Macaca mulatta: one gene and its partner. The main gene of each other region encodes a partner of the protein of the gene in region 2 in a complex. Links are inferred from orthologs where the notes say so. Each region holds a gene or a part of one and is shown on either strand. Other genes may lie near its edges.

Evidence for each region. Proteins that work in one complex are often made in the same cells at the same time.
Region 1: TAF6 (region 2) and TAF12 share a complex: the UniProt entries of both Homo sapiens proteins name them as parts of the TFIID basal transcription factor complex. The link is inferred for Macaca mulatta from reciprocal best matches to the Homo sapiens genes TAF6 and TAF12.

What each region holds. Positions count from the first base shown.
Region 1 is NC_133406.1:212,257,944-212,263,022, forward strand, and holds the start of TAF12 (transcription initiation factor TFIID subunit 12), read left to right. Parts: upstream 1-1,279; 5' UTR 1,280-3,094; intron 3,095-5,079. UniProt on the Homo sapiens protein: The TFIID basal transcription factor complex plays a major role in the initiation of RNA polymerase II (Pol II)-dependent transcription.
Region 2 is NC_133408.1:47,417,330-47,422,308, reverse strand, and holds part of TAF6 (transcription initiation factor TFIID subunit 6), read left to right. Parts: exon of another isoform or gene 1-33; coding exon of another isoform or gene 34-38; coding exon 39-250; intron 251-352; coding exon 353-439; intron 440-565; coding exon 566-719; intron 720-920; coding exon 921-977; intron 978-1,402; coding exon 1,403-1,522; intron 1,523-2,034; coding exon 2,035-2,180; intron 2,181-2,288; coding exon 2,289-2,366; intron 2,367-2,458; coding exon 2,459-2,560; intron 2,561-2,962; coding exon 2,963-3,145; intron 3,146-4,009; coding exon 4,010-4,084; intron 4,085-4,210; coding exon 4,211-4,336; coding exon of another isoform or gene 4,337-4,393; intron 4,394-4,979. UniProt on the Homo sapiens protein: The TFIID basal transcription factor complex plays a major role in the initiation of RNA polymerase II (Pol II)-dependent transcription.

The sequences.
Region 1 (5,079 bases), on a different chromosome or scaffold from region 2:
AGCTGGGATTACAGGCGCCCACCACCTCGCCCGGCTAGTTTTTTTTAATGTATTTTTAGTAGAGACGGGGTTTCACCGTGTTCGCCAGGATGGTCTCAATCTCCTGACCTTGTGATCCGCCCGTCTCGGCCTCCCAAAGTGCTGGGATTACAGGCTTGAGCCACCGCGCCCGGCCCACAGCTCTTTATACATTTTTTGGTGTGTTTGTGGGTTCTTCTCCATTTTACTGTGAACCTTACAGATGCTGGAACTGGGTCTGACTTGCATACCTAACATTCCAGCATACAGTAAAAAATAACAGTTCTCTCTTTTTTTTTTTGAGACAGAGTCTCGCTCTGTCACCCAGGCCGGAGTGCAGTGGCGCGATCTCGGCTCACTGCAACCTCCGCCCCTCCAGGTTTAAGCAGTTCTCTGCTTCAACCTCCGGAGTAGCGATTACAGACGCGTGCCACCACGCCCGGCTAATTGTTTTGTATTTTTAGTAGAGACGGGGTTTCACCATCTTGGCAAGGCTGGTCTTGAACTCCTGACCTCGTGATCCACCCGCCTCGGCCTCCCAAAGTGCTGGGATCACAGGCGTGAGCCACATAAAAGCAATTCTCACCAAGCATTTGACAGCAAAAAACTGTCCTGTAGAGAATGCTACAGGACAGGCTTTGGCTTAGTAGTGAGGTCTGAGTTCAAGCTGAGGCTCTGCACTTATTAGCTAGAATTTTGCTTAATCTCTCACAGGTCTCCTCTAACTGATTAAATGGCGTAACGGAGGTAAGCGGATTAGCACAATTCCTGGCAAACAGTCAGCAGTCAATTGTTATTACTGAATTGCCAGTTCACAGGCACAACCAACCGATCTGTCTCATCTCCCGGTTCCTGTGTTGCCAACTTCCTCGTTGAGGTTCAACAGGATACCTGTGGGGTAATGTGTCCCAGATGATATCCTGGTCCTGACACCATGACAAAGGCACCAACCAAAAATGGCGACCTCAAAGCCATCCGAGGGCGTCAATTACCCGTCATGCTACCGATGGATAAATAAGCAGAGTCGGGAAGAAAAGCTAGTGAAGGATTCTTAACGCCGGGGTGGAATACGCAGAGCTCGCTCATGCTGCCACTCAACTACAAGCAGTTAAAAGCGCAAGCTGCAGGCTACAGCTACACACAGCTCAAGATCGCCACCACGTGTCGGAGGGCAGTCTGCGCCTGCGCAAGCGAGGCGCGCGCCCGCCGGCCGGAAGAGCCGCGCGTTTCCGGGTTGGAGGCGGGGAGCGGTGCCGGAAGTAGTCGGGGAGGGCCGCGCAGTCGGACCGGCTGCTGAGACGAACGCTTCTCTGGGGCAGTCTCCGCATATCATGGGGAGATAGACGCTGCTGCCTGTGAGTCTTGGGCCCTGGCAGTTGAGGAACAAGAGCGGGAGGAGGGAGTCAGGACCCAGATCTACAGTAGGTCAGTGTTCGAAGGACCAGGTTGTGGACGAGACGGGGCTGTGAGGATTCAGGCTCTTGGGAAGGGACTGACAGAGGATCAGGCTCGGAGAAGACGCGGCTGTGGGGACCTGGGCTCCAAGACGGGACTTAGGGAACGGGGACGGATCTGAGTTCTCCGGCATCTGAGGGAAAGTGGTCTGAGAGGAGCAGGATTATGAGGACCCGCACTCCTACGAGGAGAGGGTCGGAAAGGAACGGGGTGTGAAGACACGGGCTCCGGAGAGGTAAAAGTGGAGCGGTGAGGACTTGGGCTTCTAAGAGGCAGAAGCGGGACAGTGAAGACCCGGCCTCCTAAGGATTCAGAAACGGGGCAGCGAAGACTCAGGTTCCTGAGGGGCAGAAGCAGACAGAGAAAACTTGAGTTTGGAAGGGAACAGAAGCGGGCAGTGAAGACTGGGGCTTCTTTGGGGACGGGATCCGGGCTTTGAGACTCCGAGTACCTGAGTCTCAGAACAGGGCGGTGAGGACCCAAGCTCCTAAAAGCCTTGGATCTAAGGGACCATGGATGTGAGATCAGCCTAGAAAGTAAAGGGAAAGGGTTTGGAAAAGATTTAGTGATCCATTTTTTTTTCCACAGTATTCCCTGAACCCAGAGAGATAAAGGACGTATTCAGGGGAAGACAACTTCTCCTTCGCACTGCCTGCTTGGCTCTTGGCAGGCTTTTCTTGTGTTAGATACTCAATCTAGGAAGCCCACATGCAAACATCTTCATTTTCTGCTTCATTCTTGGGAATCAGATGTGAAGTTGAAAACAGTTGGAACTCAGTTATATACTTGATAAGTGCTTTAAATCCCATTCCACTCAACCCTGAATGAGCACAGATCTCTGCATCTCAAGTAAAAGAATGTCAGTGATGGAAGAGTCCCAAAAGATCATCTTTTAAAAACTCCTATTTTACATTTAAGGAGGCTAAGGTTCAAAGAGGTTTAGGATTACAGTGAGGCAATGGTTAGATCATAATTTTAATACAGTACCCTTCTGTGCGTAGCAAATGAGATGCTTGGTTAATGTTCCTTAAATGCTTCCAGAATCTTTGCTTTATCTTCAAACTCAGGAGGGAATTTTTTTTTTTTTTTTTTTTTTTTTTTTTTTTTTTTTGAGACAGGTTCTCTCTCTGTTGCCCAGGCTGAAGTGCAGTGGCTCAATCTTGGCACCATGCACGTCAACCTCCTAGGCTCAAGCAATCTTCCCACCTATATATACCTCCTGAGTAGCTGGAACTACAGGCATGTGCCTCCACACCCTGCTAATTTTTAAATTTTTTGTAGAAACAGGATCTCACTATGTTGCCCAGGCTGGTCTCAAACTCCTAGGCTCAAGTGATCCTCCCACCTTGGTCTCCCAGAGTGCTGGGATTGCAGGCATGAGTCACTTCCCCCCGCTTCCAGTTTTCTTTTTTTGAGACAGAGTCACCCAGGCTGGCGTGCAGTGGCACGATCTCAGCTCACTGCAATCTCTGCTTCCCCGGTTCAAACGATTCTCCTGCCTCAGCCTCTCAAGTAGCTGGAATTACAGGTGTGTGCTACAATGCCCAGCTAATTTTTGTATTTTTAGTAGAGACAGGGTTTTACCATGTTGGCCAGGCTGGTTTCGAACTCCTGACCTAAAGTGATCTGCCCACCTCAGCCTCCCGAAGTGCTGGGATTATAGACATGAGCCACCACGCCTGGCCCAGTTTTTATTTCCAGTAAAAACTGGAAATTTTTACAGTTTCTGATACTTTGAGTGTTATTACTGCATTGACATTGATACAGTAAATGTCACTTAATAGTAAGGAAACCTTTATTTTTATTTTTATATTTTTGAGACAGGGTCTTGTTTTGTTGCCCATATTGGAGTGCAGTGGCATCATCATAGCTCACTGCAACCTATATTCTTGAGCTCAAGCACTCCTCCTGCCTCAGCCTCCTGGGTAGCTGGGACTACAGGTATGAGCCACTACACCCAGCTAATTTTTAAGTTTTTTTGTAGAGACGGTGTTTGGCTGTGTTGCCTAGGCTGGTGTTGAATTCTTGTCCTCAAGTGATTCTCCCACCTTGATATCCCAGAATGTTGGGATTATAGGCATGAGCCACTGCACCTGGCTGGAACCTTTAAATAAAGCTCAGTGTTATTTATTTATTTATTTAATAAGCTGTTTGGAAAGCCATAAATAAGTGTGTCCTGCATTTTTAGTGCAAACATTTACTAGGGATGGCTGCTTTTGGATAAGAATGGTGGGGAGACTTGCACCAGTCACTTACTTCAATATTAGTATCTTTTTCTGAAACCTACTCAGACTAACCAGGCACAGCTTAGGTACTTTCGAGTATTCTATGATTTAATTATCACAGCCCCACAAGTTAGATATTGTCAGTCTCGTTGTACAGATAATGAAATAGGTTTAGAGAGGTTAAATACTTTGCCTGAAATCACACAGTACTGAGTGACCCAACCCCAGTTACGCGTGCCTCTAAAACTTTTTTCTTCTCTTCTAAGTGGATTCCTCTGTCTCAGTTTGTCCATCAGCAAAATAGAAGTAATCGTTATACAAAACATATAATTGAATGAAAGCATTCCCTCCTTCTTAAGGCTCCTCTAAATGTCAAGGACTATAACTTATTAGGGTACTTACGTATTGTGGCATTTGAGGAGAGCTAAATTCTGTTTTCACAGAAGCATAGATTATTTAAGATAGAAAAATGGGAACTTTGTAGAGCTTTTAATTGCAATGTAGAAAGACATATTTAATTTTAGATTTAGGAGGCCAAGAAGGACTAATTTGGACTGGGCATAATGGCTCATACCTGTAATCCCAGCACTTTAGGAGGCCAAGGCGGGCAGGTCACCTGAGGTCAGGAGTTCGAGACCAGCCTGGCCAACATGGCAAAACCCCGTCTCTACTAAAAATACAAAGATTAGCTGGGCACGGTGGCGCATCCCTGTGATCCCAGCTACTCTGGAGGCTGGGGTGGGAGAGAATCACTTGAACCCTAGAGGTGGAGGTTCCAGTGAGCCGAGATTGTGTCACTATACTCCAGCCTGGACGACAGAATGAGACTCCGTCTAGAAAGAAAAAAAAAGTAATTTGAAAAACAAGGGCTTAAATTGGATTAATTTTCCAGTTAATTATATCATGAACTAGATGTTTGGGGGAATTGGGCTTAGTTAAAACTACTATTTTTTCCCCCAGAGTCTACTATTTGCAAGCGCCTATTATATATAAATGATCAAAACTTACTTATACCAACTTTTGAGGGAAAGCATACCCATGCCCATGTCACCACTTCAAAGTACTTGATGGTTTAATTAATGATAATTTATTCCTGAGTTAACATCCTTCCCTATACTTGCAGAATGTACTTTATTTCATTTGTGGCTCTAGCATTGACTTATTATAATAGGACTTCAAAATACCCGATCAGAAAATCATTGCATTATAATCAGAGCCAATAGGAACAAAGCACAAAAGGACATACTACCTTTTTTTTTTTTTTTTTTTTTGTGAGATGCAGTTTCGCTCTTTCATTCTTATTGCCCAGACTGGAGAGCAGTGGTGCGATCTTGGCTCACTCCAACCTCTGCCTCCTAGGTTCAAGCAATTCTCATGGGTT
Region 2 (4,979 bases):
CATTTCTTTTTCTTCTGCCTGCCCCATTCCTCTGCCAGGGTCTCCGTCTCTCCACCGGGGGCTTCATCCTTCCAGGGAGAAGAGGGACTCCAGAATGGCTGAGGAGAAGAAGCTGAAGCTTAGCAACACCGTGCTGCCCTCGGAGTCCATGAAGGTGGTGGCTGAATCCATGGGCATCGCCCAGATTCAGGAGGAGACCTGCCAGCTGCTGACGGATGAGGTCAGCTACCGCATCAAAGAGATTGCACAGGTGACCCAGCCCTTCTGTCCAGCTCCACGTTGGGTCCAGGATGTCGCCCGGGGCCCCGTCCTTAGGATTTTGGGCTGATGTCTATTCTGTCACCCACCCCAGGATGCCTTGAAGTTCATGCACATGGGGAAGCGGCAGAAGCTCACCACCAGTGACATTGACTATGCCTTGAAGCTAAAGAATGTCGAGGTGATTTGGGGAGACAGGCAGGGGGCGGGTGATGGGGACAGGGCGATGGGGTTGGGGTGAGGCGCCATCCTTCAGCCAGGTCTCCTCCGGCTCCTTTCTCACATGTGCCCCTCTCTCCTGCCACAGCCACTCTATGGCTTCCACGCCCAGGAGTTCATTCCTTTCCGCTTCGCCTCTGGTGGGGGCCGGGAGCTTTACTTCTACGAGGAGAAGGAGGTTGATCTGAGCGACATCATCAATACCCCTCTGCCCCGGGTGCCCCTGGACGTCTGCCTCAAAGGTTGGGGGAGGGGAGAGCAGGGTGGCAGGGAGGAGGGAAAAGAGGACAGATGCGTGTGGGTGTGAGTAGCCTCACAATAGAAGAAAAGCTCAGCGTGAGATCCCTGGTGAGTTGCAAGGGGAGCAGGAGTGGAAACATGCATGGAACAACTCCCCAGTGTCCATGCGCGGCAATTCACCTTGACACCTGCCTTCCTTGCAGCTCATTGGCTGAGCATCGAGGGCTGCCAGCCAGCTATCCCCGAGAACCCACCCCCAGGTAACCTCCATGCCCCACCCTCTGGATCTCTGGGTCCCTTTCCCCCTCCTTCCACCTTTTTTTTTTGATGGAGTCTCACTCTGTTGCCTGTGCTGGAGTGCAGGAGTGCTGGACTGCAGTGGCACAATCTCGGCTCACTGCAACCTCTGCCTCCTGGGTTCACGCGATTGTTGTGCTTCAGCCTCCTGAGTAGCTAGAGCTACAGGCACACACCACCACGCCCAGCTAATTTTTTGTAATTTTAGTAGAGATGAGGTTTCACCATGTTGGCCAGGCTGGTCTCGAACTTCTGACCTGAGGTGATCCACCCGCCCTGGCCTCCCAAAGTGCTGGGATTACAGGCGTGAGCCACCGCATCCAGCCTCCTCCCTTTACTTTTCCTGCTACTCTCGTCACGCCTCCCACTGTGCCTGCTTTCCCACCAGCTCCCAAAGAGCAACAGAAGGCCGAAGCCACAGAACCCCTGAAGTCAGCCAAGCCAGGCCAAGAGGAAGACGGACCCCTGAAGGGCAAAGGTCAAGGGGCCACCGCAGCTGACGGCAAAGGTCAGTCCTCCTAGGCCAGGCCTCTCTGGACTCTTGCCCAAAGCCACGTGGCCATTTGTTTTGTATCCTTTTTTTGTTTTTGAGACAGAGTTTCACTCTGTCACCCAGGCCAGAGTGTAGTGGCACAATCTCAGCTCACTGCAGCCTCAGCCTCCTGAGTAGCTGGGATTACAGGTGCCCACCACCACACCCAGCTAATTTTTGTAGTTTTTTTTAGTAGAGATAGGGTTTTGCTATGTAGGCCAGGTTGGTCTCAAACTCACCCTCATGTGATCCGCCTGCCTTGGCCTCCCAAAGTGCTGGGATTACAGGTGTGAGCCACCATGCCAAGCCTCCATGTGGCCATTGGTGAAGTGGCTGAGGTCAGGGCCAGAGAGCCCCAGAAAGGATGGGGAAGCCTAAGAAGAAGCTGGGTCTCCTGAGTCTCAGGGGAAGTGGAGGGTTAAGGTTCTTCTGTTACTGAGGTTTCTTCTGGAGCTTTCTTTGTCAGACCCACCTATCCAATCACACAGGGAAAGAGAAGAAGGCACCGCCCTTGCTGGAGGGGGCCCCCTTGCGACTGAAGCCCCGGAGCATCCATGAGTTGTCTGTGGAGCAACAGCTCTACTACAAGGAGATCACCGAGGCCTGTGTGGGCTCCTGCGAGGCCAAGAGGGCGGTGAGGGCCCCACCAGCCTGCCCTGGCCCTGAGACTCCTCCTCCTGGGGGTCCTATGAATTGCTCCCCACATCCTACCCCCACCTGACTGGCTTCCCTCCTCCCACAGGAAGCCCTGCAAAGCATTGCCACGGACCCCGGGCTGTATCAGATGCTGCCACGGTTCAGTACCTTCATCTCGGAGGGGGTGAGAGCATGAGGTTCCACTGTGCAGGGACGGCAGCGGAAGCTCCTGTGAGGGTCTCCCTGCCCCATGCCCAGCACTCCTCCCTCCCGCAGGTCCGTGTGAATGTGGTTCAGAACAACCTGGCCCTACTCATCTACCTGATGCGTATGGTGAAGGCGCTGATGGACAACCCCACGCTCTATCTAGAAAAATACGTGAGTGGTCCTGCCCACCTTCCCTTCCAGGGACCAGGGACCCTGCTGCCACCAACAGGAAGTCAGTGGTCAGCGGTGGCTCACACTTGAAATCCCAGCAACTTTGGGAGGCCGAGATGGGAGGATCGCTTGAGCTCAGCAGTTTGAGGACAACCTGAGGATAGTAGTAGGACTACTGTCTCTACAAAAAAAGATAACAAAAACAAAATTAGCCAGGCATGGTGGTGCATACCTGTGGTCCCAGCTACCTGGGAAGCTGAGATGGGAGGATTGCTTGAGCCTGGATGATTGAGGCTGCAGTGAGCCATGATTGTGCCCCTGCACACCAGCCTGGGTGACAGAGTGAGACTTTGTTTCAAACAAACAAAACCAGAATCAGCTGCCCCGCCCTTTCTCCCTTAGGTCCATGAGCTGATTCCGGCTGTGATGACCTGCATCGTGAGCAGACAGCTGTGCCTGCGACCAGATGTGGACAATCACTGGGCACTTCGAGACTTTGCTGCCCGCCTGGTGGCCCAGATCTGCAAGCATTTTAGCACAACCACTAACAACATCCAGTCCCGAATCACCAAGACCTTCACCAAGGTGAGCCAGGGAAACTTGAGCACCATTGGTTTCATCACTGGCCACCTCTGGTTGGGGGAAGTGACACTGGAAACAAGGGCAGAGGGAAGAGGGACTGGAACTTGTGGGGCTCTAAGGGCCTTGAGGCTTGTCTGTAATGCCTTTTTTTTTTTTTTTTTGAGATGGAGTCTCACTCTTGCCCAGGCTGGAGTGCAGTGGTGCGATCTCTGCTCACTGCACCCTCTGCCTCCTGGGTTCAAGCAATTCTCCTGCCTCAGCCTCCTGAGTACTTGGGATTACAGGTGCCTGCAGCCATAATTGGCTAATTTATTTATTTATTTATTTTTTGAGACGGAGTTTTGCTCTTGTTGTCCAGGCTGGAGTGCAATGATGCGATCTCGGCCCACTGCAACCTCCGCCTCCTGGGTTCCAACGATTCTCTTGCCTCAGCCTCCTGAGTAGCTGGGATTACAGGCATGTGCCACCACACCCAGCTAATTTTGTATTTTTAGTAGAGACGGGGTTTCTCCATGTTGGTCAGGCTGGTCTAGAACTCCCGACCTCAGGTGATCTGCCTGCCTCGGCCTCCCAAAGTGCCAGGATTACAGGTGTGAGCCACTGTGCCTGGCCACAACTGGCTAATTTTTGTGTTTTTAGTAGAGACAGGGTTTTACCATGTTAACTAGGCTGGTCTCGAACTCCTGACCTCAGGTGATCTGCCTGCCTCAGCTTCCCAAAGTGCTGGGATTACAGGCGTGAGCCACCGCGCCTGGCCTCACTGTCATGTCTTAATGATTTACAAGGAAAGTGTCTATGAAAGACGTGGGTCCCTATCAATCATCCTTTCAGACCCCTTCATCTTAGTTTATTTCCTTCCCCTTACAGAGCTGGGTGGACGAGAAGACGCCCTGGACGACTCGTTATGGCTCCATCGCAGGCTTGGCTGAGCTGGGACACGATGTTAGGCCTCTGGGAGGAAGAAATGGGGGAGGGGACGCAGTCATGAGGTTATAGAGGGCACTGTGCCCCCACCTGGGAGACCCTGGTGACCCTCCGGCTTTGGTTTCTTCCTTTCCCTTCCAACAGGTTATCAAGACTCTGATTCTGCCCCGGCTACAGCAGGAAGGGGAGCGGATCCGCAGTGTGCTGGACGGCCCTGTGTTGAGCAACATTGACCGGATTGGAGCAGACCATGTGCAGAGCCTTCTGCTGGTAACCGAAGCCCCTGTCCCTGCACCTGCGCCCCCGACCCCCCGAGAGACAGCCGGCGTTTAGCAAGCATATGGCGTATTTTATTCACCTACTCCCATCTTTGCCTCCTGTTTTCAGAACATACTGCAAAGTCTGATACTATTTTACAGATGAAAGACTGAGACTCAAGCTGAGTAAAAAATAAGGGGGCTGGCTGGGCGTGGTGGCTCACGCCTGTAATCCCAGCACTCTGGGAGCCTAGGAGGCCAGCCTGGGCAATGTAGCGAGACCCCGCCTACGAAAAACAAACAGCTGGGAGTGGTGACATGTGCCTGTGGTCCCAGCTGCTAGGGAGGCCAAGGTGGGAAGACTGCTTGAACCCAGAAGTTCAAGGCTGCAGTGAGCTATCATTGTGCCACTGCACTCCAGCCTGGGTTACAGAGGGAGACCACCACTCCTCCAAAAAGAAAGAAGGGCTCACATGCTCAGCCTTTGGCATTTGGACCATCCTTCCCCAGTGCTTCTGTGTTACTGTGTGGTCTCTGTACAAAGCAAATGCCCTCTTGATTAACTGTCCTGCCACAGTATTTAGCAAGTTCATTCACATGTTAGTGCCCATGTTTTCATTTTTTTTTTCTCTCTCTTTTTTGAGATGGGAGTCTCA